Medicago truncatula: one gene and its partners. The protein of the gene in region 1 binds, or shares a complex with, the protein of each later gene. Links are inferred from orthologs where the notes say so. Each region holds a gene or a part of one and is shown on either strand. Other genes may lie near its edges.

The links.
Region 2: mediator of RNA polymerase II transcription subunit 9 (region 1) and mediator of RNA polymerase II transcription subunit 8 share a complex: the UniProt entries of both Arabidopsis thaliana proteins name them as parts of the mediator complex. The link is inferred for Medicago truncatula from reciprocal best matches to the Arabidopsis thaliana genes MED9 and MED8.
Region 3: mediator of RNA polymerase II transcription subunit 9 (region 1) and mediator of RNA polymerase II transcription subunit 13 share a complex: the UniProt entries of both Arabidopsis thaliana proteins name them as parts of the mediator complex. The link is inferred for Medicago truncatula from reciprocal best matches to the Arabidopsis thaliana genes MED9 and GCT.
Region 4: mediator of RNA polymerase II transcription subunit 9 (region 1) and mediator of RNA polymerase II transcription subunit 30 share a complex: the UniProt entries of both Arabidopsis thaliana proteins name them as parts of the mediator complex. The link is inferred for Medicago truncatula from reciprocal best matches to the Arabidopsis thaliana genes MED9 and AT5G63480.

The regions. Positions count from the first base shown.
Region 1 is NC_053049.1:5,735,165-5,743,331, forward strand, and holds the start of mediator of RNA polymerase II transcription subunit 9, read right to left. Parts: upstream 3,157-8,167; 5' UTR 3,097-3,156; coding exon 2,767-3,096; intron 2,673-2,766; coding exon 2,610-2,672; intron 2,401-2,609; coding exon 2,320-2,400; intron 381-2,319; coding exon 322-380; intron 243-321; coding exon 185-242; 3' UTR 161-184; intron 1-160. Other genes in the region: uncharacterized protein, read left to right, coding at 6,765-6,965. UniProt on the Arabidopsis thaliana protein: Component of the Mediator complex, a coactivator involved in the regulated transcription of nearly all RNA polymerase II-dependent genes.
Region 2 is NC_053046.1:4,594,478-4,602,697, forward strand, and holds the start of mediator of RNA polymerase II transcription subunit 8, read left to right. Parts: upstream 1-5,085; 5' UTR 5,086-5,251; intron 5,252-5,822; 5' UTR 5,823-5,915; coding exon 5,916-6,219; intron 6,220-6,300; coding exon 6,301-6,425; intron 6,426-6,507; coding exon 6,508-6,691; intron 6,692-7,009; coding exon 7,010-7,123; intron 7,124-7,213; coding exon 7,214-7,278; intron 7,279-7,936; coding exon 7,937-8,220. UniProt on the Arabidopsis thaliana protein: Component of the Mediator complex, a coactivator involved in the regulated transcription of nearly all RNA polymerase II-dependent genes.
Region 3 is NC_053044.1:41,139,420-41,147,448, forward strand, and holds the start of mediator of RNA polymerase II transcription subunit 13, read right to left. Parts: upstream 3,749-8,029; 5' UTR 3,595-3,748; exon of another isoform or gene 3,470-3,594; 5' UTR 3,429-3,469; coding exon 3,405-3,428; intron 2,004-3,404; coding exon 1,930-2,003; intron 1,848-1,929; coding exon 1,708-1,847; intron 1,571-1,707; coding exon 1,484-1,570; intron 1,260-1,483; coding exon 1,172-1,259; intron 1,095-1,171; coding exon 1,014-1,094; intron 1-1,013. Other genes in the region: elongation factor P, read left to right, coding at 6,130-6,327, 6,408-6,438, 6,561-6,574, 6,687-6,737. UniProt on the Arabidopsis thaliana protein: Component of the Mediator complex, a coactivator involved in the regulated transcription of nearly all RNA polymerase II-dependent genes.
Region 4 is NC_053044.1:48,895,023-48,902,586, forward strand, and holds the start of mediator of RNA polymerase II transcription subunit 30, read right to left. Parts: upstream 3,411-7,564; 5' UTR 3,339-3,410; coding exon 2,988-3,338; intron 167-2,987; coding exon 77-166; intron 1-76. Other genes in the region: thylakoid lumenal 17.9 kDa protein, chloroplastic, read left to right, coding at 5,157-5,401, 5,489-5,603, 5,689-5,758, 6,607-6,827. UniProt on the Arabidopsis thaliana protein: Component of the Mediator complex, a coactivator involved in the regulated transcription of nearly all RNA polymerase II-dependent genes.

The DNA of each region.
Region 1 (8,167 bases):
CCAACCCTCTTTCTTAAAGGATAAAATTGTAAAAACAATAGTAATTACAAACATATTTAATACAAATATCCACTATCTTAATTCCCGTTATTTTTTCAAAAGGGCCTTGTAATTAGGGACGGAGGTAGTAACAAATAAAATCTCATATAAGGTTCATTACCTGTCTGAAAAGAATTACAGGCTCTTATGGCTCAGATCTGACAAGCTCCTCTACAGATTTTGTGTAATTGGCAATCAAATCTCTGAAATAGAAGAAAACAGCATGTATTTAGAATCTATGGACTTAACCAAGCAGAGATATTTAATACAATTTGTACAGACCTTCTTTGATTTAGCAATTGCTCGCTTTCCTCCAGCTTCTTCTTCTGTCCCTCAACGGTCTGGATTAAGCAACCGAAAAGCTATAAGTTAGGCCAAGAACCCCGGCTTCAAACTACTAGCAAAAGACTTAACTTTTTAATGGTTCGAGGACAATCACATTGAGAAAACTGAGAGCAGACGAATCATTCTTCTTATTAATAACATCAGCAATTATTGTTTATCATGCACAGGGCATGTTATTAAACAAAAAGGAAAATGTCAAGAAATCAGAAGTGGAGCTTTTGAGATGAATAATAATACATTGAATTTTGAATACTTTGATTTTCAATAAAAGCTTTCTAAATCTTGATTCTTTAACAAATGTCTTAAGAGTCCTCGACTCCTCGTTATTAGAAGGACCGGAAATAAATATTAAAAACAAAAATCTGACTATCTATGAAGCCAGGGCTAAACAGTATTAACAGAATGTCAATTTAGACACAAAATCACACACATATCTATGAGAGTACGTATTTAGAGTTACACCGAAATACTTCAATTAGTCATTGATTTCTCTCAAGTGGTTTTTCAATTAGTCACTGATTTCTTTTCTTCTCTAACATCACCTTCCTAGTTTGTTTGTTACTTTACACGAAAAAAAACAGCTTAACCTGCAGAAATTTATGAGGGCCATATTTCTTGAGTCTATGTATTGCGTCATTGAAATCATTTGTTTTATTCATTCCTTTTCTAATCATCAAGGTATGTCATATACCATGTGTTTCTGTCCATCGAGATAATGATATGAAAACAAAGACTAGGTATAAAATTTAAAAAAAAGCATGACCAATATTTCACAATCAGATGCTATAATCGCCAGAATACCCAATTATTTGTGGTAAGATCAAAATAGAACTTTCAAATCGAAGTGTTGTCAAATAGCAGCTACAGCGCTATAGCATAATGGAATTCAGTGTTGTCTATGGCAGAAGGCTGTATGTGGCAGAGAACCAAAGTCCCACCATACCGACCGCTTTGTGGCGCCGTCACATCAGATTATGGCATAAAATCCCTCCATATTTGCCAAAATTGGGCATTGCGGAGAGCCACAAAACGGCCACCAATTTCCTCCATGGCTGATATTCGATAACAGTACAGGCGGAATATGAATAAAACGCTATTGTTCGGCAATCAGCTATTTACTACAAAGTGTTGTCAAATAGCTGCTAGTGTGGCGCGATAGCTCGGTAGTATAGGGAAATTCAAACATAAGACTATTTTCCGTATTCCGCAATTGACAACACTGGAATGAACACCGAAAAGCCCAATTTGACTTTTTCACCATCAAGATTTTTTTTTTTTGAAACAGCATAACATTAATAGCCACGCACCAGAGGTGCAAAACGGCGAGGAACTACAAGAGGGGCCGAAATGCTCCTTCCCAACCTGATGCCAACCGAACAGACAGCAGGAGGAAAAGGCACCCCGGGAAAACATAAAAAACCAGAAAAACCAAACTGCAGTTACGCTAAACAGAGAGAAACGCAGCAAAAACCCCCATCCACAACTGATATAACAGACCTGTAGCTGCTGCCAAATCCACCTACCTAACCGCATCAAGATTAAGAAGAGTGTGTAATCCTTTTTATAACCATAATCGATGGCTTGTGGGTATAGGCCTTTGATGATAATCTAAAGGTATCGCTCTCCATTTTTTAAAACCTAAGCCATCTCACATGTGCAGGCTCGAGGAGTATCACGTGAGTAATAATAGTAATCAATCACAGTCATTACTAATAACAAATTTAAGGTCAGGATTTGTAGTATCACTAAATACTTACTCCTAGAGTCAACGAATCACTTCTCTTTATGTACTTCGCTTAATAGCTTATTACTATAAACATTGAATTTTACCAATACAACGGCTGACTATTTTCTTACTACATTGATGATCAAGCACACAAAATAAATATATTAAATCAAATCAAAGCATAACAAAAGGAAGTAAAGAAGAGATACCATAGCTTTGGTGCTAATAGAAGCAGAGATTGAGTTTAACAGCTGCTGACACTTCTCAAAATGATTGCTCAATTCAGTGATCTTCAACCAACAAAATTAACATAATGAGTAATGTATTCAAATTCAAATAAATAACCATGAGACGAATTAATAAAAAGCCTTATGAATCAGACATGACACTACACTCTGACACCCGTAAAAAAAAATATTGATTAAATAAATTAATTCAACTTAATCACATGTGTGGGTGTCGTATCATAAGTGTGAGTGTTACATAGAAAAAGTCATACCAATGCATCTGATTGCTGATCCGGGTTTCCATGTTCAACAACCTCAGCCAAATTCTCCACCAACTATATCCACAACAAGAAATCTTCAATTAATTAAATAAAATGTGAAAATAATTGAAATTAATTAAAATTAGGGTTTTTGAAGGGGTTAACATACATTTAAGAGATGAAAGTGAGAAGCGAGTGATTGATGAAGATTCTGCTGCTGTTGAGGTTGTTGTAGCTGTTGCTGTTGCTGTTGCAGAATACGTTGTTGTTGTTGCTGTTGATAAAGTTGTTGCTGTTGTTGTTGTTGGAATTGAGATTGGGTTGTTTGAGATTGTTGAAAAGGTTGTTGTTGTTGTTGATGAAGAAATTGTTGTTGTTGTTGAAGATAAAGATTTGGGTCTTGATTGGATTGAGATTGAGATTGAGATTGAATTTGGGGATTGGAATTAGGGGTTGGGATCATCGTCCATGTTCCTCCGGGAGAAGAGTAATGTTCCATTGCTCTATCCTTACACCTTCGCTTCAATTCGATCCCTCTTTTAAGTGTTCTCCTCGATCTCTAAATAACAGAGACAGTTGACCCAATTACGCATACGTAATTTTGAGTTTAAATATCTTGAATAATATATTAGAAAAAATTATGAAAATTTGATATTTTGAAAATACTCATCGAGACGAATCTAACGACATCTTATATGATATTATTTATCTTTGTATATTAGTAGAAAAATATGGTTAAAATAAGATAGATCAAAATTACACATTTTCAAACAGGTCATTTATTGCAGGATGGATGGAGTATTTTTTAACCAACAGAAACTAAAATTTATAGTTCTTTACAAAAAAAAAAAAGTTTGCAAGTACTATTTCTATATCATTAATAACATTGTGATTTAATTTTTAGCATCAAATAGAATTGGATTCATAGTCTTGGTTAGATGCATCTCTTACATTATCTACAATAGAAATATTTAGGTCAAAGTCAAACTCAATATGTTCATGATGATTACTACTTGAGTGATGGTTTACCCATCAATTCCAAACAACTTATCTAAAGATGTATCTAGTATTTGCAAATTATTCAACGCTAAAATTAAAGGTACTAATTTGTGAAGCTTGCTCGCAAGAGAGGAACGTGTTCTAGTAGTACTTAAAATATATTAAATTATGAGATTTAACTTTTCTTATTAAAATCTTATTATTTTGTTATTATTTTTTATGGACTCCGATAATTTTGCAATTTTTTTAACACATTCGTTTTTTTGTCAAGACATTCAGTTTTATTTTATTTGTTGAAATTCATATAAAAGACAAAAACTAGTGAAATTTATTTGAATTTTAACAATTAAAAATGATTGTATTATAATAATATTAAATAGAAATGAGTGTCCTATCATTTCTTTTAAATATTTGTTTGAAATTCAGCCGATCATTTTAAATCTTATAAATCATAAATTCATTTAAAATCCTATAAAAATTATAATATCAATCCATTTAAATTCTAATCAAAAGTTCTTACAAATTTCTAAAGTTCTACTTTAAACTACTATAAGTAATTAGAATTTTAGTCTTTCACTTCCTCCGTCTTATTTTAATTATTATTTTTGGGTTGTGCGCGATTCTTTAAAATAATTAGTTAGATTTTTTTAGACAAATAATTAGTTAAATTGATCACAATGATAAAATGAGTATTATTTATTAAAATAGTCTTTTTAATTATTATTATTGTTATTAATAAAATGATTAAATGAGGTGAAATTCAATAAATAAAAATATATTAATAAAAAATAATAATGATATTTTATAGCCACCATTGTTTTGAGATTGAGTAAAAAAAAGTAAAGTAACAATTAAAATGGGGCCAAAAATAACCAACCCTTTATAAATCATAAATTAGGACAAAAACTGTGTTCAAAATCCCTTCATGTTATTACCACCAAACACAGCCGCAGGAAAGAAACAACACAACACCTCCTGATTTCAAGGTCCGAGGTACAAGGAAACATTAAGGTTTAGATTCACTGTGTCTGTTCAATTCAATTCTATTTCAATCCTCAAATAATCATTTTCTAAAGGTTTTTCATCTTTCAGGTTTCATCATATCAACCTCCATTTTCAATTCCAGGTTTCACTATTTTTCAATTTAATCCCCCCCCCCCCCCCCCCCCCCCCTTTTTTTTCTTTTTCTTTTTCTTTTTCCTCTTAAGCTTTAATCAACTGGCTGCGTAGTATATATTCTACATGCCATCAAAATTGTATGTTCAATTGTTTTGTTAGATATTCATTCCTAAAGAATTTGATCAAGATTATAAATTGGGGCAAAATTATGTTTTTTCTAGGGTTTATTTAGCTGGGTTGATTGTGAATTTGTGATATTAGAAGTTAATTAATACTGGAAAATGAAAACAAAGAGGACTTTTTTAAGTTTTAACTTATCAATGCTTCAACTTAATTCATGTTCAATGAGTTTGAGAAAAAGAGGTTTTTGTACAATGCTATTTTTTTTTACACCCTTATAATTTTCATTGAGTTTGGCTTATGCTTCCACATTAGTCCTTTTCTCCCGACCCTGCCACCCATATGATGCAACTATGCAAACCTTGCAGACTAGTATAATGAGAATGAGATATCTTGATTGATGGCCAGCGCTGTCCAATAACGGCTATTTTAGCGTTATAGCGCAGTAGAATTTGAACAAATCGGCATTGTTCCACGATACGCCATTTAGTACAACATTTTGTTAAATAGCGGAGATGATAGCTTTGTTGTGTAGTCATGTAGTGGAATTTGAACAAACCGCTATTATTTGTGATTTCCTCTTGAGTTTGAGCCTCCTAGGATACTTCCGTAAATCATAGCCACAAGAGAGCTCCCTTTCTCCTGAAGTTACTGTGTCATTTTTCCGAGTTCCTTCGACATGGTTCTCTGAAGCGCCTTGATGACACCGGAAGAAATAGGACAAATGGAAAAAAAAAAAAAAATGTTTCTGTAATGATGATGGATGGGAAACATTGGAATTGTTGATTTAGTTTTTTTGTTGTGTTAAAGCTGTTTTGGCTTATGATATGTGATCTTTCAGTAAAAAAAAATAGAGAGATAAAAGCTAGAGTCCACCAATAGACAAAGTTGTTTTGGACGATAGATGTTAGCGAAAACCAATTCTGATGTACTTTCAACACCAACCTTTTGCTTCAATTAAGCTTTTGTTAGGCCTTCCATACTTCAGATCTTCACACAAGCTTAATTGAAGCAAATTTAAAATGTTAAGACCATCAACTTCTGATGGTCTTAACAAATTCTGATGTACTTTCAACACCAACCTTTTGGAGGCTTGGGTGCGTTTGTTGTCATTTTAAATTTCCAGGATTTTTTTGTTAGGCCTTCCATACTTCAGATCTTCACACAAGCTTAATTGAAGCAAATTTAAACTTCTGTAAGGGATTAGTCTTTGAGGGGTTTTTTGTTAGGCATTCCATTCTTCAAATCTTTTAACAAAAGCTTAATCGGAGCAAATTTAAAATGTTGGCAAGAATACATTATATCATAAAGTGAAGTTTGATCACTCTCTATTTTGGACTCCAGGCTTACTATATCATAAAGTGAAGTTTGATCACTCTCTATGTTGGCAAGAATACATTATATCATAATGTTGGCAAAACTAACTTCTTTTATCTTTTCTTTTATCATGCTGTGTATGTCTGGTACAACAAATTGGGTTTGAGCCATGGAGCTTGATAGAGAAGAAAGGTGAAAACCGATAGAGAAGGAGGAAGGAGAAGGAGTAAGGGAGAGAAGCGAATTAGAAGGGGATAAAATATCATGTGTAATTAATTTTATATGGAGCATTAAATCTGAACCGTTTAATTTGAACTAAATGGCTATAAATGAGTCCTCTCATCCTCTCACAATAACATGTCCTCTCATTTGATACATCCCCTATATATATATATATAATGAATTTTCATCCATTTCAGGTTTGTAAATAGTAAATCATAGTCTCTGTGCATTCATTTAGGTTGTTAATGTTGCTCGGTTGATGGAAACCATGATGGTGTTAATGTAGCATGTCATGATCATCCTATGTTTGTGTCGTGATTTGTGAAACTATTTAGTTTGAAAAGTATCAGTTTGATCTACATTTTGCAGGTTACCCCTTTCTTAGTAGCTATGGCAGTAAAACCAACAGTTGCATTAAGAGCCATCCTTGTTGGAGGTATAGCGGCGTTTGCTAAAATAGCAGGTGCAATGAAGGCTGCAGGTGGTGTAAAGATGGGCGCGGCTGCAGCTGCCATGACAGCAGCAGCAACTGCAGCTGTGACTGGTTCAAAACAAGAGCAAAAAGATCCTTCTCAACAGTCCACAAAATAACTATCTTTTCCAAAGTTCAAAGTAGCATAGTTCAGTATCTGCTATTCGGTTAGTTGAACCGAAAGATAAGAGGCCATATGCGAATTATAGTTTTTACAGAAGATACTGTATTAACCTCGTCGAGTCCTTGTAGCAAGATTTCATTAAATTTGTAAAGTTCCTGTAGTTTAAGAAGTTATGAAGATTTGAGACAAAGCTAAACACCAGCTGAGTGGTTTTTTAATCTATTTTTCAAAATTTGAATTCGCCAAGACATGGGTTTGGTGTGAAGTAGTTTTGTATACATTTGGTTCGGCTTCCAGTTTTCAATTTTCACCTTTAAAGGGTCATTTCACCGCAATTTCTCGGAAGCCACAATTAGTAGCTTCACTTTGGATGCATTTTTATCAGTGTTCCACTCTGTTGTTTACTATTAATGGTAAGTTTTAGTAAAGGGGGTTGGAGTAGAATGTAATCTTTTACAAAAAGAATAAATTGTACACAGTATGCACTTGATCTTTGATTTTGTAAGACGAGTGGATTTACCCTATTTAATCTTGTCATTGGGCTGATTGTGATTATATTGCTCATTTCATTTTTAAAAGGAGGATGGTACACATAATTTGACACTTTTTGTAGCATTCTTCATAATTATTTTTCACCTTCCTCGCTACTAAACACTTTATTTTTCACCAAAATCAACTCATGCACAATTACTTTGGAAACACCAACTAACGTAATAAACTACTACTAATCACTTTGTTACATCTTTACATGCAAAAAACTCTAATGAAAAAAGATTTGTCCCTTTATTGATCATCACCTTGGAAATGAAGTAATGGATTGGAGAGAAAACCAAAAAGCTGTATACAATGGTAAAAGAAAGTGATAAGATAAGAAGAGAGGGGCTAGTCAAACAAGCAGAAAAGTTGGCAATGTTTTTGGGCAGAGAAAGCATCTTTTAAGTCTCTTACAATTACAATGACAAGTCAACTAGGATAATGACTCTATAATATCCATCATTAAAAAAAAAATCTAAGAGGTTCATCTCACATTGCTTGTTATTTTATAATTTTAATATACCATTATTTTTTTTTTCCATTAATGAATATATATTTTTTACTATATCTCGATTCACCTAACTAGTAACTACTGTTTATAAGAATAGTTAAATGAAAAAACCCATTTTATTACTGATATTATACGATAAATCATCTTATTGA
Region 2 (8,220 bases), on another chromosome or scaffold:
CTTCTCACTGCAAACACAGAAACCAAAAGAAGTGTAGCTTCAATTTGTGAAGAAGGTTGTATCCATGTTAGAGTCAAGCACCCCAGTTTGTGGCAGCTTCCATTAGGATGCCTTTCATTCAATCACCATAGTCTGTGGCAGCTTTTAAGATGTTTTTTGATATGTGCATCACTGTCGTTCTCATCATCAGATAGGTCTGATACTCACAGATCAATGGTTGAATTCACAATGATAGGTTTGATACTTAAAATTTATTTTAAAAGCAATTGCATCAGCATGTAAGTTGTGTTCATAAAAAAAAGGAACTGTGGCCATGAATGCTGATACTATCAGACCTATCAATTTGACTGTTATAAATATTCCGAAGAAGTATAACAAGCATTCATATGAATGACCTAAAGAGTAATACCTTATCAATAAATTGTCATTTTTATTAACAAATACACTACTGCATAATGATAATAAGTGTGATGCACATACAAAAATGTTGCAAGAGATATCAATAGAAGCAAACAGTTACAGATCATAGCAACAATTACAGACTTAAGAGAAAAGTGAGATATTAAAAATATCATTGTCCAAGAATTAGAGTAGAATAGCTTAAGAAATAATTGAGATGATGAATGTAAATGACTGAAGCTAGCTCGGTATTTATAGTATTAATGTCGAGTAGGAATGATGATATGTTATTTGGAAATTGTTCCATATCAGAAACAGTGCACCACGTAAAACCAATGGCCACATTGCATGTGCAGAGAAACTGAAACAAATAAAAGGGAAGGATGCAAATTGGATATAACATGGAATACGAATGGGTACTTATAACAGGACTTAGGCAGGAACATACATAGGAGGGAATGATACTATGGTTGGCGGTTGAGAATTTGACGTAGGTTTTGTTATTGTTGCAACCTATTTTAGTAATTTACCAATCATAGCAGAAATAAATTCCTGTCCTGAATGCTTTACTTGTTTTTAGTTTGTTGACAGACCAGGGAGAATTCGAGAGTCGTCTAATTTTTACCTAAGCAACAACTTTTCGTGTTGGTTTAAAGATTTTCAGCCCAGATTTCTGATAATATAGCAGTAACGAGGAAAATCTTAGTGAAATAACAAAGATGTTGCCTTGTCAGTTATCATCTAGCAGTGACATATTTGTGTCAAAAAAGCCCCTTTATGTACAAGTGTTGTGCTAAGGATATTGTCTTCCTCAAATTTGTAGCAACATTTCTTCTGCTTGTGGATCTAATCTATCTCCAGATGAGAAAGCATGAACATAGGGTCACATGACCATGTGCATTCAGAGGATCCAACTCAAGCAGTCGTGTGGCTGCACGTTTAGCAACATCTGCATCTGTTTTACTCATACCACACACTCCAATCAATGCCCCCGAAGCAGTCGTGCGAATTGACAGATTTATTCTCAATATTGTAAAATGCTATTCAAAATGATCCTTCTGTTAGCTTCTATCATTAAAGATTATGACATGTTATGTTAACTAGATATGTCCCCACGTTGATCCAATACATGTTGTCAACTTATTAGGGACTAAATAGTTTACGAAGTAATTTATCAATAATTACAAATATGCATGAACTAATTATTGATAAATTAGTCCCAAAACTCCATATAAATTTCAATATAGACAAACTAGTTTATACTTCATAGTATGGTGACAATGATGTGAGATTCTATGTCATACAGTCTAAGGGTAATAATCAAGTGACTATTTTCACAAACATTTTAGGGTTAAATATGTTTTTGGTCCCTATAAATATGTCAAATTTTCGTTTTAGTCCCTCTAAAATTTTCCTTCAACTTTTAATCCCTATAAAGTTTTCAATCTTCACCTTTGGTCCCTCTTTTAAAGTAAACTCATATGTAGAATTCATATTATTTAATAAAATTTTCCAGAAAAATTCAAAATATTATAAGAATGACTCCAAAAAAAATTAATTTTTTTTTTAACAAAACATGAATTTAATATGAATTTTTATATTGTTTATGGTTAAAAATTCATATTTAATTTGTGTTTTGTTAAAAAATAGAATATTTGACACATTTCTGCACAATTTCATTACAAAATACAAAAATTAAATTAAAAATAGGGACCAAAAGTAGTGATTGAAAATTTTATAGGGACTAAAAGTTGAAGGAAAATTTTAGAGGGACTAAAACGAAAAATTGACATATTTATAGGGATCAAAAACATATTTAACCCAACATTTTACTATTACATGAATTTATTTGTTAGTTCACAAAAACCAAAGACTGTTTTAAGATATGCTTACAATTTTGGATGATAATTTACTACTCGTCTTAGATATAAGAAGAAAAAAAATCAAACAAAGTAGATATATATGGTTCAAATCTAACTTGTTTTGACTTTTTCTTCTTCTTATAGTATCAATCATGTCTTAAATATGTCATTCTTCATTGCACTTTGATCATATTTTGACATTAATTTCTACACTTTTTTGTATTTGACATTGGTCCATGCACTTTATAAAAAATTTACAATTGGTCTTTGTGTTAAGTCCAAGTTAAAAAAAGGCAAAGCTAACGTGTGTCATGTGAACCAATTATTACACGTCACATAACACACTAAAAGACAAAATTTTTAGAATTAAAATATTCCGAAGTTTTAGTATGAGTCTCTGCACTTTCAGTACTCTTTTATATTGGTCTTTTCACTTTCATATTGGTCCCTGAACCCTTTATTTATTTATTTAAATCTTTCAAATATATTATTATATTTGTTATTATTTTGTTCATTATTTTTATTGAGAATAATTATAAAAAATTCCCCTAAAAAGTTATAAAAAAAAAATCCTTCTTAAAAAACGAATAAGCTTTAATCGTATCACATCGTCACCTTTTTCTATAATTAACCATTATAGATTCTTTAGTAATGGCAAATCCCCATTAAAGTTTAAATCACCATTATTTATACAATATGATAGTGGCCAGTCGTATGACAAGTAGACAGACACAACAATACGATTGTACGAAAAAGAGACAAAATTAAACAATATGTCATGAGAATTCTTAGCTATTAAACATGTAAACTTGGAATAATAGTTGAATTATTATTAAATATTTTTTTAAATTTAATTTATTATTAAGAAATCATTTTTAGAGCAAATTACATTTTCCTCTTCCCATCATAGACGGGTAAGGATCTTATCCATTTATAAAAATAAATGAAATATACAATTTGGAGAGAGATAGAGATATAAAATATGTAGTGGATTATTCTTTACTACTTTTTTGTGTGTCTTTATCTCTTCAAATGGTAAAAATGAAGAGGATTTTAACTCCTTAAACATCCTCTAATCGAGTTAAGATCCTCTTCATTTATAAAAATAAATGGAGAATGCCATTTAAAAATAGATACACACATAAAAAGGTTGGGGGCCTTACTATTAAGCGAGTCCCACCATCATTAGTTTTTATTTTTATTTTTATTTTTATTTTTCATGTGTCATTGTCTCTCCAAATGGTACAAACCGAAAAAGACATAAATGGAGAGGATTTCACTCCCTCCAATCTTACATAAATATACATTACCCTCTCTTGAATGCTAAATATATACAAAAAAACAGGTTAGAATCCTCTCCATTTATGTGTTTCTCCATTTCTTCAATTTGGAGAGATAATACACATAAAATATTGAAAAAAGTAAAATATAATTAATGATGGTGGGACCCACTTAGTGGTAAGACCCACCATCTATTTTTTGTGGAGCAAATAGTCACTTTAGTCCCTGATTATGTAGCTCGCTGTCACATAAGTCCCTGACTCAAGATTAAATACAAATAAGTCCCTGACTCTGCACTTCCGTTATCACTTTAGTCCCTGACGTTAAAAAAATCTGTTAAGTGATGATGTGGCGCATATGAGGTGCACAGGGACCAAAGTGAAAGTAGAAAATGGTCACTTTGGTCCCTGAACCAAAAATCAATATGCCCAAATTGAAAATAAAAAATCCCTAAATCTTAAATTCTTAAATGTCATCTAATTATCTCTTTTGTTCAAAATCAATCTTTCATTAAACACCAACATACTGTTAGGTCCCTGACTGTGCATACTTACTATCAGTTAGGTCCCTGACAGTAAACACGAAATTTCACTAAAGTCCCTGGCTATTGGGACATTTTTGGCTTGAAAGCTGATCTTGAGGCAATGGTATGTTGGGCTAAAGTTTTGGAGTTTTTTAGTAGTGCCATAGTGTTGTGGTTCCGTTACCTCTTTCTCCCTTTAGTATATAATGACATCAGGATTACATATATAGATAAATGAATTATGAACGGTGTGTTTGATTATAATCCCCGTAAGTATTTTAAAGTCATAGCTTGATTTTTTTATGTGTCTTTAAACAACAGTATCCAATTTTTTGTGGAGAGATTTGAATAACTAATGCATATTAAGTTACATGAAAGAACTTATGCTTTAGTTGCTTTAGCTTCTCATGAAAGAAAAAAATTAAAGTGAGAAATTTGATAATAAACTTGGAAACATAAACAACTTATGTTAGATGTAGCACTAGTACCTACTATGTAGAACAAATTTCAAGTTAGAAATTATGTTAAAAAAAATCCAACATAAATGAATTATCATTTGAATATATCTTGAGCTCTTGATTACTGTGTATGCTGAGATCTACGAGGTAGAGATATGAATTATCACGTGAATATAACAATAATCAAGAGTAGTAGATGCTATTGGATTTGTTAATTCATTTGTCAGGGATCTAACTGATAGTAAGTATGCACAGTCAGGGACCTAACATTAAGTTATGTTTAATGGAAGATTAATTTTGAACAAAAGAGATAATTAGATGACATTTAGGGATTTGAGATTTAGGAATTTGATATTCAATTTGGGAATATTGATTTTTGGTTCATGGACTACGATGACCATTTTCTACTTTCACTTTGGTCCCTGTGACACCTCATATGCGCCACATCATCACTTAACAGATCTTTTTAACGTAAGGGATTAAGTGATAATGGAAGTGCAGAGTCATGACTTATTTGTATTTAATCCTGAGTCAGGGATCAAAGGGACAATTTGCTCATTTTTGTGTCTATCTCTCCGACTTGCAAAACCCAGAAAAAAAAACAGCAGGCTCGCGTTTCCTTTCCTTCATCTTTCCTTTCCTAACCACACACGCGTTTCCAGTGTCACGAACCCAACAACACCACCACGTCCACCGCCCACAACCGTTGCTCTCCTCTCCTCTTTCAGGTCAGTTTTGAAATTATTATACTGAAATTGAATCAGATATTGAAATTGAAATTGAATTAAGACAGTGATAGCAGAGCAGCACTGAAATTGAAATTGATTTTAACTTTTAGTGTTGCCTCACTGTCACTGATATTGGAAGCAAACCACTGTTTCATAAGAATCATCAATGCATTCAAAAAGTGATAACACATCATTATATGATAATGTGAAACCATATCAACCACAGTAAAATCAGAAGAAAAAAACAATTTCAATTGAGTTAATCAATCATCGAAGCTTCTGTTTTATTGCCACCTAAAAGGGGGAAAAAAAAGTAAATGTAAACCATTGTGATTTGTTTCGTTTGACTTGATTTATTGTTGATTGAAAACTGAAGGATTTGACATATCAAGTTGGATTATGTTGGGAAATTGTGTTACATTTTTCTGTTGCAAATTCTTTTTCAAACAAAGCGTTTTTATGGATTTTTTTTTTTTTGAGGAATAGGATAATCATGGAAACTGAAAATGTGGCTACTGCGAGTTGGTGCAGCTCCTCTGATGTGTGATTAACCTTTTATTCTATTCTGCAGTACTCTATATTTGTCTGTGGTCTAATTTTCGAGAGAGAACAAGAGTTGTTGCGTTGCGGGGATTGGGACGGACAAACAGAAAAGGGAAGAAGAATGGAGGGTGAGTTGGTGCAGCAGCCGCAGCCACAGCAGCAGGAGAGATTGAACCAGGCAGTGCAGCAGCAGCTAAACCTAGAACAAGTAAAGACACGTGCTATCAGCCTGTTCAAAGCTATATCAAGGATTCTCGAAGATTTTGATGCCTATGGTCGCACCAACACCAATCCCAAATGGCAAGATATTCTGGGTCAGTATTCCATGGTCAATCTCGAACTCTTCAACATCGTTGACGATATCAAGAAGGTCTCCAAGGCTTTCATAGTCTATCCCAAGAATGTCAATGCCGAAAATGCTACAAGTATGAACACATAATATCTCATATGTATTGTACACTTTTCATCCATTCACATTTCAAATCACCGTGACAATGTTTTATCAGTACTGCCTGTTATGCTCTCCACAAAACTACTCCCTGAAATGGAGACGGAGGACACCTTGAAGAGAGATCAATTGCTTCAGGGGATGCAGAACCTCCCAATTGCCACTCAAATTGACAAATTGAAGGTTATCTCCCCTTTCCACTTCACATCTACCTTTCCTCTTCCGTCTTCCCTCTTCCCTCTTCATTCTTCATTCCCTCTTGCAGGCTAGAATTGATATGATTGCCGCAGCCTGTGAAGGTGCCGAAAAAGTATTGGCTGACACTCGTAAAGCTTACTGCTTTGGAACTCGTCAGGGCCCTGCCATTGCCCCCACTCTCGACAAGGGTCAGGCTGCCAAAATTCAAGAACAGGAAAATCTACTCCGAGCTGCCGTCAATGTTGGCGAGGGTAATAATTTCACCTGCTTCCGCCTTGTACTATAATAAATATATTTATAGATATATCACAACCAATGGTCACTCTTGTTCTAAATACATATTAAGATCTAAAATTTCTTTCATATGGATAATTCTGCTAATGTACATTTGTCACTGTTTGCATTAGACTTGGTTTAGCTCATAAGGACTTCTTGAGTACAAGAAGGTGCTATTGGTTGGCTTGCCTTGAATAAAGTTTTTGTTTGTTGAATTTAAACTTTCATACCAATGACTCTCTAAATCTGTATCTTTATGGTGATTTTTTTGGATATAATGGAACTTCATGCAGGATTGCGGATACCTGGAGACCAGAGGCATATAACTGCTTCACTTCCTATGCATTTGGCAGACGCATTTACGGTCAACGAGAGTGCACAATCTTTTCCTGACGGGTCTAGCAATAGTAAATCACTCTTCTTAACTCTCCATCTCCAAAATATTTTGATTTTATAATTTGACTTCGAGTGGCATTTATATATACTATTACTTTCAGATGTGTATATGAAGAATACCCCATTGTCATCAAACAGTATGGGCGGCCAAAATTCGTTGTTACAGGTCTGGTCATTCACATTTCGATGAAGGTTTTATGAATGGATATTTGACTATCTTCTTCACTCTTGTTTTTTAATACTGTAAATAAAGGGTATATGTGAATTATGGTTACTTATGATTTTGGATTTTCTTGCTTCAAATGATTTGCTTTCTACCTTTTCATATCCGGTTTCGCGATTTTGAAATATTCTACGTCATAGTCTCATATTTTAATTTTATATTTGAAAACCCATCTGATCCTTATTAGATTGAACTTGAAGGACAATAAAATTTGATAAATTGCACAGCTACTTTAAGCGGCGCTGCATGGTTGATTCCTCATCTAACCCTATTTTTTTTCTATAGATGAGGGGCCACACATACACATAGGGAGGGGGAAGGGTGGAAAACCTGGGATCAAACCCAGGCACCCACATGAAACCTCCTCACAACCAACCACTAGACTGTAACAATGGGGACAGACTAATTTATTGGGAGAAGGCTCAAACTCTCACCTCATCTGGCCTATTTGATTTTTACCTCTCGTGCACTTCCCTCATTGCCGAACTTTTAAACCTATGGAATGAGAACTAATTACTTCATTTGGTGGATTGAAATTATGAAAAATATCGATTTTTCTAGTCGTAAGTTTTTTAATCTTCTCACATTATTGCTAATGTAGACATCGGGATCACAACTTTTGGGAAGATCAGCTGCATCTCCTTCTGCTGCAACCAGCGCCACTTCTTTTGACAATACAACAGCTTCACCAATTCCATATGCCAATTCACCTAGGTCTACTACAAATATGATGAATACGCCATCCCCTCAGCAGCAAACCCCACAACCGCAGCCGCAACAGCTAACAGCACAACAACAGCAACAACAACGGCAGAAACTAATGCAGCAGTTACCTCAACAACAGCAGCAACAACTTCTTGCTCAGCAACAATATAGGCAATCTGC
Region 3 (8,029 bases), on another chromosome or scaffold:
GAGAGAGAGAGCGAATAGAATATGAACAAATTCGCCGACCTTAGGTCGGTGGAGGCCGGAGAAGTCTGCCCCGGGCGAACTGGGTGACAAAAGAGAGGGGTGTGCCATTGGCGGTGGTTGAACGTGAAGACGGCAAATTCTTCCTAAAAAAATATATATGACAGTGGCACAGTGAGCTGATGACAGTAGCACGGTGGTTGTACTCGTAGATCTGGTTCCTTTGCATTCTACCTTCTTTTTTTTACGGTGATTCCTCGAAACGGTTCCAGCTTTTCTATTCTGAGGTTGTTTGACAAACTTCGGAGACAGAGCATTGAAATTTTTCTTTATCACTGTTTGTTTTACACACAAATAGTGTAATTAAGATTTAAATAGTAGAGTACATGCATGAAGCATCAACGTCGAGCTTCTTTTTACATGGATGAAGCATCAACGTCGAGGTTCTTTTTAGAATAACTTAGAAGGAAAAAACGATGAGTAAAATCCAGAAGAAGACACCACGTGACTTTTTAAGTGAGTGAATATGAGACGTTAGATTAAGAGAAATCAACAGCTATTATTTGGTGTCAATATAAACATTAACACCTGGTGTCAATGCATCCTGACTCAACTACTTATTATAAAATAACTTATTACATTTTTAACGGGAACACATCATTTGTTGCTCTTTAACAAGTTAATATTTTTTTTATTCAGATCATTGCTGGCTGCCCACAATGTTCCCCACTGACAACGTGAGAATAATCTCCGCTTGCCCGGGGACAAAGTAAAGGCTAGCTAACACTTTTTTTTTCTGTACTGTTGATTGCAATCAGATTTCGTTATTATTAGCTTTCGTAGTTCCCTTAGATAGTCGGTAACTGATTTGATTCCAAAATTATAGGATAATGTTTCCTTTTCAGATTATATTTCACTTGTTATATGTGTGTGTGTACATAACCCTGTAAATATTAGTGAAATATTTAGATTTAATTTAGCCAAAAGTGTTAAATCTAAGTACAGTAAAAATATACCTGAGCAGTTCTTCACTTTGAAATTGATGGACCTTCAAGAATACATCTCCAAATCTCATGTAATAAAGCCCAAGCAGTGCTCTGCCAAATTCAACAAGATAAATGGCAAGATATGACCAAATTTAACATCACTTTGAAGAATTGAGGGGGAGAAAAACCTTTCAATGCAATTCCTTAAAGCCTGAGAGAGAGCGGCTGCAACTTCTTCTGAATCCCCAGGAGCGAGCCAGAGCCCAGACGCGACAGCTTCATCCAAAAAACTTTCCCGTGTAAGAGTGTTTTCAAAAAACACAGAAGTATAAAAGCTACAAAGCCACTATCTTTGACGAAAGAAATGTATACTGTAACATCCCGGTATCTATAAATGGGATTGTTATATTATTAAATATTTGTTGTATATTGTTTGAACTTTATTATTTAACGGGGTATTACATATATGCCCAATACAACAGTTCTGTTAAGTGTGATACCTCGTAATCCAGTTAAAGCTGGCTGAGCAGTTTCAGAAACTGTTAAATGACGCCCCGGAAGAAAAAGCCACAGCTTAATCTTTTCATCTGCATGTTAAGTACAGAAAGCAGAAATTTAGGTAGCAAGAAAATGGATGACCATTTCCGTTCTTTCCTTTTGCTAAAAAGACAATAAAACTGTAAATAATCACAGATGACAAAACCAATAAGTCAGCAATCTCTACCAGGATTATGCAAACCCTGAGATGGATCCCACGGTCCAACAAAAGAATTGGTCCATGCGCTGAGAAATCCTTCCTTCTGCAGTTGCAAATGTGATGAAAGCACCACTAACATTGCAGCATCCTTCTGGTCCGCTTTTACACTGTTTGAACAGAAGATGGCCCATAAATAATATTAAAATAGTGAAGCAGAAAGAAGGAGAGAAATAGAAAATATATTCCAACCTTTTGTCAGGTAGAGGGTTCAGATCAGGTTCGTGAGGGAGAAACTGAAACCATGATATCTGATGCAGACTACCCTGTACAAATTTCAAACAATATACACATAGTTATATAAATATAAACAATATACACATAGTTATATAAATATAAAGACAACCAAATAAATTGTGAACAAAAATGGAGGAGCATGGAATATACATTAATTTATGGTAAAAGCTAACTAAACAGCAGCATTGAGATTTAACCTTTTGCACTCATTTCTAAAAATGATATTATTCTTGGAGAAGGAGATTTGACCTTGAGATCTTTCATTAGACTAACAGACAATTTTTCTTCTATTTTATATATCCTAGTGCTGTCAATCGCAGAACGATGAAATAGCGGTTTGTTCAAACTCTGTTATGCTATACCACTATTTGATAGTGCTTTTTACTAAATCGCATATCGGGTAACAATAGTAGATTGTTAAAATTCCGCTGCGCTATAGTGTCACAATTAAATCGCATATAGCGTAACAATTGTAGTTTGTTAAAATTCCACTACGCAATAGATCCACTATTTGAGAACAATATTATGAAACCAGGTGGGCCAAGACGAAGGTTGATATCGATCCACAACATTAATTGACATGATCGAGCAAGTAAACAATATTTTTGTCATCATCCTAGCATTAATACGAGCCGATACTTTATTGTTCTACTAATGTATTTACTATTTATTTTAAAAAAATAAAAAATAACAGTCGGATAGGACACGTGTCGCCTCCTAGTAATTTGGTCACCCGCCGAACACCTTTCTTGCCATATCCGTGTTATTTATTACACACGGCTTTTCATTGCCACTAATACCGATCAAAAAGAAAAGGAAACATCTTATACATAAGACGAGTTCTTGATCAGGCAATTCACATACCAGCTAGGGTGATATAGCTAACTCGCAGTTTCATTAACATAATCCAACAGGACCAATACCAAACGTGATTATGAAGGCGACAGAAAGTCACAATCATCAGTGTTCCAGCCCATGGCAACCAAATATCGAATGACGTAGTTACTTAGCGAATACGTAATCTCTAGTAAACCCTAACAACGCTTGATCGGGGAAAAAAATCATAATTCCAGTATATGATGAAATAGAAAGAAAAAAGCAAGTAACATAATCAAATAAGTTTTTCATTTGTATAAAACATATATCTACAAGAAAAATTTAAACATTCACAAACCAAATCTAACTAAAACAACACAAACACCTTGTGTGAAAATAAACATGAGATAATTTACAAAGTTTTCGGTTCATAAACAAATTAACCGACTTAATCATCATGAGATTAACTACAGCTGAAAAAATGAAAGCATGTTTTGTGATATACTAACTAGGTTAAAACGAAATTGAACCCTAAACTATCATATTCCAGCTAAACACGCAAAATAATGAGAATTGGTGAAGAAGAGTATTGAGATTAAGAAGAAATAACGTACGATTTTGAAAACGTTGGTCCACATAGCTGATGAACGGTTCCGGTGAATTGAATAGGGTTTTGGATCTGCGTTAGGGTTGGGTGAGACTTATGAAGCGTAAACGTGCTTCTGCTCTAGAAAAGCGAAACGGAAAATGCGAATTCGGAATCTGATTCAGAAAATGTAACACTGAGTTTGATTTGATACTTACTTCGCTTACCGTTTAAACTGAAAAGCGATTACGAAAATCGCTTCATTCAGCATTCCCGCAAAGATCACTCGAGTGTAGGGTTTTTTTTTTGTTTTCTCGATAGAGTTGAAATTTGTGACCGCGCTTAACTTAGTTCCAGTATTCATGACAGAGTTAAGAGTTGTTGGTGTTTATATATAGCATTGAATTAGACTCAAGGTATTTTTTGGACAATGTTACTTTTTATCGGTGTCAAAAAAAAAAAATACTAGTATTTGTATATCGTGTATTTATTCATAATTGTTGTTGACACATTGTATAAAGTTGTGTCACACGAATAATTTACTGAAATGTTCATCGGCAGTTAAGTGTCGAATTATGGAACCGATTGCAGTTAATTATCATTTTTAACCGTACGATAATATGTTAATTGTTATGTTAATATTTTTTCTTGTTAAAACTTGAACCTTTAACAATTTAACTTTTTTAATCTTTTAGCTCAAACCAGTTTAACTAGTCAACGATCTTTTGTTTAATTGGTGCGTAAAATCTTTTAACTTTTAGTGTTTTTTCAAAAATAAAACAAAGATAAACTAACTAAAATGACGCAGCAATTGATTGTCGGGTCAAGAGCTTTATAGTTTGAGTGATGATTTGTGTCACTTACAAATAAGAAAGAAAATTGATGTAGCGTGTGTGTTTTTTTTTTGTATGGTGAGTGTTTTGTTACAACGATTGTTTTTTTTTAGGATTGCAACGATTCGTTAAATAATAAATTATAAATAACTTTATAAAAGGAAGAAGTCATTGAGGATTCATGTAAAAGAGATAACCACAATCTCATTGAGTATCAATAAAAAAATAACAACGACGACTAAAATATGGTTAAGTGGCTCGTTGACTCAATAAAAGATGGTGGGAACATACCAAAACACCCTTGAGGCTTTCAAACAAACGTGAAATTGCAAAAATACCCTTTAAATCTTTCATCTTCCTATTATCCTCCCTCTCCCTTATTCCCCCGTCATCCACCACCACTTAAATCAAACTCAAATCTCTGCTCCTCTTCTCAAAGTCACAGACACATATCTCAAGTTAATGATTCTCCTTTCTTCCTCCTTTGAAGCCTTCTTCCTTCCTCCTTTAAAGCTTTGTTATTCTCCTCATCTTCCACCATCCATTTTGGCACCTCCAACATTTTACCATCAAAGGGTCGTCGTCCCCCCTTCCACCACCAGTTTCGACGCCTCAAACATAATAGTCCTCGGAACCCAGTTAAGAAGAAGCTTGCAGAATCTGGACCCACCATCGATTCTTAACCTCATCGCAGCTTAACACCACCGTGTCGGTGACTAAGTTTCGATTTCCTACCAATTTAGAACTCACCCCATAATTTCCTCACTCATTTCAATTTTATGTTCTTTAAACAAACTATTTGCTTCTTCTTGCCTTGGATTGGGAAAAAATGTAAATTGAAACCGAAAATGGATAACAAGATATATATATATATATATATATATATAGAGAGAGAGAGAGAGAGAGAGAGAGTTCAATTAAATTCATGCAATTGGTGTTTTGATTTTGAGATGATGAAGGCATGGTTGGAAAATTTCAACCACCGTGCTATATGAGTGTTTTTTAGATGATTTTGACAATTAGTTTCTTGTTAGTGGATTTGTAACAAAAAAATTGGATAGTGTTTTTGGTAATTGGCTTGGTGTTGTATGAATCAATATATATGTCCCTTCTTACGTTCTCACACACGATCTCATATATGACTGTTCATCTTATAAAAAATGCATACAATTGTTGACTTTATTGGCAACGTTGTAGGGTTTACGATATTTTTTTTTCTTCCTATAAATATGTTGTTCATTCTCTAAACGATTTGATTCATTTCATTACACAACCACACATTTATCTTTAAGAAGTTCTTCTTATGTTGTTGCGACAGATTGTTGGGGATCAAGTTCCCTGCTTTGAAATTTGTTATGTCTGCAAACCATGACCTTCCACTGATAGCGAATAACTGTTCATTTGGGAACTCTGCTACAATAGTTTTGTCTTTCGTGGTCAACTCTTTATTTTCCAACCTCGAGAGGTGATCCACCACTACATTCTCTGCTCACTTCTTATCTCGAATTTCCAAGTCAAACTCTTGCAATAAGAGTATTCATCCTAACAACGGGGGTTTTGAATCCACTTTAGTCAACAAAAATATTTAAGAGCCGGATGACATGTAAAAACAATAATAACCTTGAAAATAATTAGATAAGATGCTGTGACATGCGACAATAATGTGACATAATGACTAAAGCATGATCAAAATAAGTTAGAGTATTAGTTTATTACAAACCTGAAATTTAGAGAATTTGAATGCGACAAAAATAACATCAATCTTATTACAAACTTCAAACTTAAATCACAGTTTAGACCGTTAGCTCAATCACAAAATTGTCATAATATTCATATTCCATCGATCTGTTAAGAAGTGCGTGCGTGCGTACTTGGTACCCAGGGTTTTTGTGTTATTCCGGCGCGAGCTCGAGTGAGAAAATGCAAGCTGCAATGAAGCAGAAACTGAAACTCCTCTACAATTCCAACTTCAAATCTCTCTTTACACTCTCATCATTCAAATTTCATTCTTATTCCTCTCCGCTAAACTCATTACCACATTCTTCCACCGCCACCAACTCCTTCACCACTCCATGGTCCATCATTCAACGACGTGGAAACAAAATCGTTGGTTCTGATGTACGCATCGCATCACCTTCACCTTTCACTGTTTTTAAATCTTTACCGATTCTTATACTTTTTTACATTTTTCACTGCAGATCAGAGTCGGAAAAAAGATCGGAAAACAAGGTTACTTTGCTTTTTCTATTATCATTCAATTGAAATTTCGTATTTGATTGTTCATTTGATCAATTTCTTACGCGTATTTAGTTATTTTCTTCTTACTCACAAATTTTATGGCTTAATTCCAGGGCGCATTTACGAGGTAATAATTCATTTCTTGACGAGTTGTTATCAGTTTCTATTCATTCATTCAATGTTGTTATTGAAGACTTTTTTTTTTTTATTTTTTATTTTTATATTGTGAACTTGTTCAGGTTCTTAAAGTAGATCATTCTCATGAAGGACGAGGAAAAGCCACACTGAAGGTTTTTTTTCTTTCTTTTTTCTATTCAAGATTTTACATGTTCCCAATCATTATTTATCAGCTCACAGATGTTATCTGCTGCCTGTTTGGATTGACCTATCATGATAAGTGCTTACGTATAAGTTCACATAAGCTATTTCTATAGCAAAAGATAAAATAAAGAAATTGTTTTTGTATATGCTATAGGTTGTTTTTATGAGTATATCAGAGCACTTATGAAAATAAGTTGAAAAAAGCTTTGAAAATTGTCATAAGCTGTTTTCTTAAGTTCTCCCATACAGTATCACAGAACCTATTTCAGTAAATAAGCTCAAATAAGCTAATCCAACCTTTATTTGAGGTTATCTATTGACATAAACACCTGTTTTCAGCTCTCTACAAAATAGCTTATGAAAATAGTTTATAGCTTATATGAAAATAATTTAACTTTACTTTATCTTTTGTTATAAAAATAGCTTATCATAAGCGCTAAGTTGCAAATTAAGCCGTATATTCAAACGGGGCCTTGGTTTTTCATCCATTACTATTAGAGTTTGAAATGTAATGCTGTGATGTGTGCATAAATGTACATTGCCTTTAATACAAAATTAGCCAAGTGAATACTGAATATTAACGTGCAAGTTATATTTTAAAAGAATTATTACTATTTTATATATTTACGATGGCTTTTATTTGACCTATGAGAGGCCTTTTTGCCATAAATTTAAAGGAAAAATGTATTTTCTTATTTTCTGCATTTTATTTCAGGTAAAATACTTGCAGGGGCACGGCCTCTCATGTTTTAAAATATTTCCTTTTTTCATTAACATATTTGGTTATTGTGTGTGTGCGTTGTAACAAGACACTGACTTGGTATTTTGGCCATTTGCTCTCTGAGTCTTTGAATTTATATCTTTGGTAATTGCTCTCTCTATCGGTAAATCTGTGCCTTCTGCGCTGCATACTTGACACATAGAACCAACTTCTTGTTGCAAAATATGCCATGCTAGATTTTGTAATCCACCTCTCCCTTTGGTAGGAAAGTTTTAGTTGTAGATTACTAGATTTACTGGCTTGACCGAAATGGCGAAATGTTAGAGATGTATTTTTGCAACACATGATTCATAGGAAAACAGTTTTCCATGAAGCAGTCTTATTGAAGGATTAGGATCAACTAATAACTGATGAATACACAATTTTTCGTACCTTTAACATAGATATTGATACATGATCTCAAAGGATTATATTGTTTAATTTGATCAAGTAATGATTTTTTTAAGAGAGTGTTGATTTAGGTTTTATTCTAACTTACCA
Region 4 (7,564 bases), on another chromosome or scaffold:
CTAAAATAATAAATTCGATGTTTGGGGTTTGGAAAGAGTGTGATCAAGGATAGAGACAGAGGTTAATACAACAAACCTTTCTCAAAGAAGAGGCTTGCTCTTCCAATTTCTCAATTTCAGCTTCGTCCATAGGGCTGTCAGCTGAACCACCGTCAAATGTGTTTGCCTATAATACTAACCAAGTTAGTTTAACAGGAAAACAAAAGCTTTGCTAGCTAATATGATGGTCATACAGCTCGCAATAAGATGCACGTTTGTGAGTCAATAACCCCGATCATTTAACAGAATATGGAGTCTTAAGTCTATGTAAGGAAGACACTGATTTCTGAATAGAATTTTCTTTTAATGCAGCATCTTTTTCCTAGCAGTATAATAGAGGTGCAATAATATAAAAATAGTGAGTTCGGAATTTATTTAGTAATTTACCACAGTCTCATGAAGTTTTTCATTTAGTCGCTGTTAAGATTTTCAACCCCATTTTAAAAAGACATCAAACCAAACCTTGGTGTAAAGAGATTTTTATTGTCTCTTACCAAGCCAGAAAGATATCTAAAGGAATTGAAACTCACAATTCATTAGCTAAAAATTCAGAGAACAAAACTATAGCTAGTTACTTATTGAATTTAAGCAGTTTAAGTAATAAAACATAGTCAAAGTCAAAAAGCAAAATTCATTCGTTAGCCCACTCAATGCTCCAATCGGTGCTGCAACATTATAAGGTTCTATAAATAGGAGTTTTCAAATTTTTCATCATGTTACGCTATTACCGGAATATCATGTGTTAAACTTATCTGTGGTATAAATTTAAAGCCCTTGTGCATATGTAGAAAAAAATACCATCATGTAGTCGTACTTCATTTCTAAGATTTCAATTTATATCTCCGAACTCTGAAACTGAAGTATTTTCAGATTTCCTCTCAAGGTGATGAACTCTGAATCTGAAGTATTTTCAGATTTTCACTCAAGGTGAAGAAACTCATCCTAATACCTCCTGCTGTCCTTTTCTATTAGCTCATCCTAATATCGTACGGAAAGCCAGATTTGAAGCAATATGAGGTGTTGGTAGATCATCACAGATTAATGTTGGAAATTCCGCCTTAATTGCGGTCCGCCCCTAGTCGCCTAAATTGCGACCTTTGGTTAGCCTTCATTGCAGCCTCCAACACCTTCATTGTGTTGGCTTTGAGGGGGTGGATTTAGTCCCACATTGGATAGATAGCCCTCTTGAGAAGAGTTTATAAAGAGGAGGCACTCTTCACCTTACAAGCCGGTTTTTTAAGGATGAGTTAGGCCCCAAATTTCAACAATTAACATAAATCACATTTCATATTGGAGTTGTTCTATTTATAAAAGTTCAAACGTAGAGCGAGTTATGACTCAATACTCCAGTTGAGCACATGAGTTGGCAACTATGTTCTACTTGATTGGGAGATCCATCCCAGTCAACAACGTTATACACGACTGTAATTTTATGAACATTGCCTGTGATATATACTAATACTAATACAAGCCGGTTTTTTAAGGATGAGTTAGGCCCCAAATTTCAACAATTAACATAAATCACATTTCATATTGGAGTTGTTCTATTTATAAAAGTTCTAACGTAGAGCGAGTTATGACTCAATACTCCAGTTCACCACATGAGTTGGCAACTATGTTCTACTTGATTGGGAGATCCATCCCAGTCAACAACGTTATACACGACTGTAATTTTATGAACATTGCCTGTGATATACTAATACTAAATCCTTCCTGGGAGAGACCTTAAAGTATCACAAAATTCAGATAATTGCATCCCAGATATCACCACTAGGAGAGTTATGAACTTATGAAACTGACTCACAACATCAATCGCAAAGAATATGCCAAAGCATGGCCTAGTCACAGTGACCACTAAAGGACCTGTGTGATTTACGAATTTCCAATTTTTATCAATAATTACAAAAAATGTCACATTGCTTTCATTCCCTTTCCTATTTTGAAATATTCGGAAAAAAATTTGAAAGACGTACTGAATTGTTTTTATGGTTTCCTATCTAAATATTATAAAATAGAAAACAAAATAAGAACAAGTATATTAAGTGTGTGCCAAAAAAAGGGAGCATATTAAGTGATAACCTATATTTATTGTGATACATATGAACCATCAATAGTAGCTGTTTAATCAAAGATTCAAAATCAATGTTTAGGATTAAAAAAAATGTAGTGATCTTCAATCTTTCCCCTTTGTTCATTAACCTGAACAATACTATCCACTCTGTCATATGAACACGGTATTGTATGCTCTAATCGATGGTCTCTCATGAGTGGCATTGCATAATTCTATCCATTACCTATCAACGCTAAGACTACCCTACAATTTTTTTCCACCTTTTATTTAATTGAATTAAATGATTATAACCACGAGCTTTTCATTGATACAAGACTGTGGCATCTTTGTTTTTGTTTAGTCTCAACTATTTTTGTGATTTCCTAATTTTTTTACTTGGCCTGGAAACAATATTTTTAGAAAAGATTAGAATCAAATTACATTTTGAAATTTGATTAAGCAATTCATTGTAGCTGCATCAAAGAAAGATGAGCGCATATGTCAAGCGAGGATGAAGGTAGGGGATGAGAATATGGAGACGCGTGACATTTTAATGAGATCAGACCATTAATTTCGATTGAGCGGCTGTTATTTAGAGCTTGTGCAAGAGAAGCATGAGTTCTCACTTGATTCTCTCTCCTATATATAGCAAAAGGTAATCTGTGTGTCGCATCGATGAATAGTTACTTAAGAAAAAATAAGATTAGGAATACAATCTTTACAATGAACTTGGCAACTCTTATTGCTGCAGAAAAGAGTTTAAAAATTAAGTTTTGGACTTGCCAATTCATTGATTTTCCACTAACCTAAAGTTCAATGATTCAAAAAATCTAGATCTAGTAACAAAAAGAACACACAATAAAACCCGAATTAGAAAACTAGGGATTCGAAATTGCACCTTCTGAGAATTGGGAATAGCGGCAAGAACACTCCGAAGTCCAGCAACAGCATCTTTATACCTCAAACGAGCTTCATCAAGAGCTCCACCAGCACCACCACTGGGAGCAGCGCCGTCAGCGTGTTGGCCGGAATTCTCGGAATTGGCGTCACCGTTTGAAGAAGGAGCATTGGGAGAGGTAGCAGAGGAAGGAGAAGTGGACCACCAAACGGGATTGCAAAGCTCGTCGTTCATGGAAGATAGTATCTTGAAAGCATGTTGTATGGTTTCTTCTAAGTATTTGTGACCTTCAATTGCTAAATCTTGTGTCGTTTTGGTTGACATTGTGCCGTTTATGGATTGTTCTTCCATTCCAATGCGAAGTTTATCTATCTTATGAGTCTCAGGAATTGCAAACCCTAACTTTGATCGTTATCAATGAGTAGAAAAAACAAAAGCATGGCGGAAAAAATTAAAAATGAGATGAAAAAAGAAAACGTCGACAGCAGGGTTCGAACCTGCGCGGGCGAAGCCCAACAGATTTCAAGTCTGTCTCCTTAACCACTCGGACATATCGACTGTTTTGTCTATTACGATTAAATATAAGTATATATTTACAACTATGATTATTATTAAAATGAATAATAGATTTGAAAAATTATAAAAATATAAGTTATAATGTATATGTTGAATCTCAATTAACCCAAATGATTTGCGGTGAGATCAACTTGAACTATTTTTCTAAACTTTTTCGGACAAAAATGTTGTATAAGAAAAGAGAGTTGTGACATTTCATTTTCTTTATGAGGTAAGATCTTGTCAATAGTGTATCGTGATAAAAACCCCAAGTTTGTAGAGATAGTGAAGGATGTAGATTTCAATTATGAGTAGTTGGACTTTATTTATAGGAGTTGTCACCCTAACTTCCTCTCTTATTATTTAGGGATCTTCTAGAAATCACTCCACTACGCAATTAATATCATGTCAAAGGATCAAAGTGGTTTGACTGAGTAAGAGAGCTCTCAAGATAGTAGTAGTATGGTCAAATATGAGGATTATCATATGGGTATGGGTCGAGTACAAAGAGCATGAAGCAAGCATGGGTCAAAATGGGAATATTTTTATGACAATCCACAATCCCCCAAATATAAGACTTGTAAGGGAAAAATGGTTTAATGTAATAAGACGAGATAATAAGAAATATATGATTGTCCACATTTATAATAGTTTCAACAATACGAGGTGGAGTATGATTCAAAGCGAGGCAACGAGGGATGAAACAAGGTGGAATATGATTCAAAGCGAGGCAACATAGGATGAAACAAGGTGGAATATGATTCAAAGCATGACAATCGGGGATGGAATTTGATTGCCATGATTTGTTAGGCATCGAGCCTAAGTCCAATCCATTAGATGTTTGACCTAGTTAGAGGATCATCGTCTCTGCAACAACCAGCAAGTAGCGACTTTTAATACGAAGACAAAGACAAGAAGCAAGGATGGAAGGGATTGCTACCAACGTTACAACCTCGATACTGAATGATCCGACTCCTCAAAGATTTATCCCTTCCATTACGTATACCTCCTCAAATAGTAGGAATGATACACAATTATACTCTGCTTACCTTTCTCTTTGGATTGAAGGACAAATATATAGTTCTAAATGTTATTTATCGCGACATAATTCAAGCAAAATTTTCACGAAAAGAGTACTGCATGTATTTACTCACTTGTATTGCACCCAAACATCGTGTTTTGCGCAAAACAATATATTATGATTGATATGTATCTTATCGTGATGTCTTCACGATATATCTCTCGTAGTATATAGGAAAGCTCTTATAAGTGTTTGTTTTGAAATTTATGGATACCATCAACTACATTTTATTTTAATCAAACTAAAAAATGACAATTGAGATCTTTCACTTTTGTAATTATACTATTGGAGTCATAGTCTTTAATTTTCGTGGAAGAACTTAATTAACCATCTTTATTAAGATCTCTCTTTCTAACTACATTGTTTTGACAAATCCTAGACCTTATACATTATATTTTTCTTTTGTTATGTGGTGAACAATAACAGCCTTTCAGAAAGGATCAACATTTCAACAGAACAATCGTCACCTATGGCTGAAAAAGAATGGAGCAAAAACATGATGCAGTGAGTGGATAGAAGACTCCATAAAAATCATGAGTTTGATACTTCGTCTTCTCCATCCTCTTCCTCAAACTCACACTAACACCATTCCCAAACTCAATTCTGATAATAAACAAAAGTTCCTACCAAATCTCTTCTCTCTAGCCATTGCTGTAACATTAACATCTCCACTACCTTCTCATGCAATCCCTTCCCTCAATTCTCAACCCCCTCCAACCACTCTTAGTACCACCCCTTTTTCTCAATCAAAAAACTTGCAACTTGGATTAGAAAATGGGTATGCTTAACGGATTCTATATAATATATGCTTCATAATTAATACCATGGATTCTATATAATATTATTTGTAACCTTTCTCTTGCAGAAAAATTAGACCTTGCCCATCAATAAATCCTGGTTGCATATCAACAAACCCGAAGTCATCATCTTTTGATTTTCCTTGGACGGTTCCTGAAAATTCAGTGGATAATGCTATTCAGGTTTCTAAGCTATTACTCAGAGTTCAAAAAGCATTGTGTATTTTTATTATCTCATGTTGTGATTGTTCATAATTTTCTTTTTCAGAGACTACGTGAAGCAATTCTAGAGACTCAGAAAAATGTGAAATTTCAGCCCGTGGAAGATACCCCAGATGGTAATTCAAACACAGTTCTGTTTTTGATCAATTTACCATTGGTGTTGTTGTTATTTGCTAGAAATTGTAGCCAATTAGCAATGAAAATGTAGAACATGATAATTAAATAATATTGAAGTATAAGAAAAAGAACCATCAATTGAGGGACTAAGATGACGAATTTTATATATTTTAGGGACTATTGTTAAATGGACTCCAAAAGCTAGCTCATCAAATGAGGGAGTCCAAGCACTACTTATATACAATGCCTAGGTTCGTTTTCCACATGCCCTACAAAATTCAGATTTGAAGCCTTGTCAAATGAGCTTGAATCTCACTCTCAAAAATTAGCTGGTAAGATGAAGGTGCACAGACACATATGCACACAGCACATTGCACAACTTAGGAACACTGTCAATGTGGGATTCGAATTCAACTTCAATACTTATAATTTTTATACGTTTTCAGGACTAAATTGAAGAGAGTGTGATAATTTAAGAAATAAATTGATGGTTTATTCTTAGACTCTAGTGATGAACAAGGAAAGTTGTAATATATTTTATGTATTACGTTATAAATGATTTTATCTAGGTCAGGCCAAAGACAATAAGGAAGGGTTAATTGTTTTACACAATGTTTTAAAAACTGAACCAAACTAGACAGTTCAATTGCTTGAATCGTGAATCAGCACTGTCTACAGTTAGGTTATTTGAACGATCCGATTGCAGTTTCGTCTATATCTGAGCTGTTTAAAGTTGTTGAACCATGACCTATAGGTCTCTCTGATTTGATGTATGGTTCAGTTAATTAAAACATTGGTTTTACAAGCTACTAGGCAAAACTTGATTTATGCTAAAATGAATATACAGGACAGTATCTGCAAGCTGAAGTTGATGGAAAATTTGATAGAGACGTACTTGAGTTTCTGGTGAAAGGTGATGTGGTTGCCTTTAGGTGTATGGCAGCAAAAGTGACTTATATATACCCTTTCACTACTGCATTTGGAGATTCAAAGGGTCAAGAAGCAAGACTCAAGCAAATTAATGATCAATTGGGCTGGTATGCTCCCAGTTTTGATTCCATGGAGTAGTTAATGTTTCTATTTTATGTTGCTTTAATTCTTTGGTTTGTGTATAGCTGAATGCCTTTATTATTACATTCTTCCTTATTATATACAATTTCATGGCCTTTGTTGTTTTGCGGCTAAGCTTAATGCTTGTTATTATAAACAATTTTATAAATATTTTGTTTGATAGCAGTTTCTAAGGATGTTTGTGTTAGCTTTTGCCGCATTTAACTTAGCCTAACCGTTCGATGATTATCTTAGTCCGAGCTATTTTTTATTTCAACCTACTACTTATTCATTGTTTAGCATTTCCAATTGCTCTTTCCTGTTTTGACTTGAAGTTATTAAGGCTACTTCTTTTTTAGAATAAGATGAAAAAATAACCTGTCTATTGTGACTTGTAAGCTATAACCTTAATACACCTTATTGCCAAGTTTTTTTAGGAAAATATTAAGGTTGGTTGAGAATTATTGTTCAAGTATTATTTCATGAACATTATGAATCATGCTTCAAAAATCATCTCCCCAAAACATACTTTACATAGGACTAGCAGTAGGTTGTCAGTTATGTGCCTTATCCATTGTTCATCTTAGAAAACAATTATCAAGATCACGTCACAGCATCAAAAAACTTGGATTTGACCACATTCCTTTAGTTGTTCTTTCTCCAAATCCAGTATTGGTAGATGCTTGAGGTTGAAGTGGGAGTGGTGTAGCCACAATTGTGTGTAAGGATCATCACAAAATGGTACTTCAACTTGT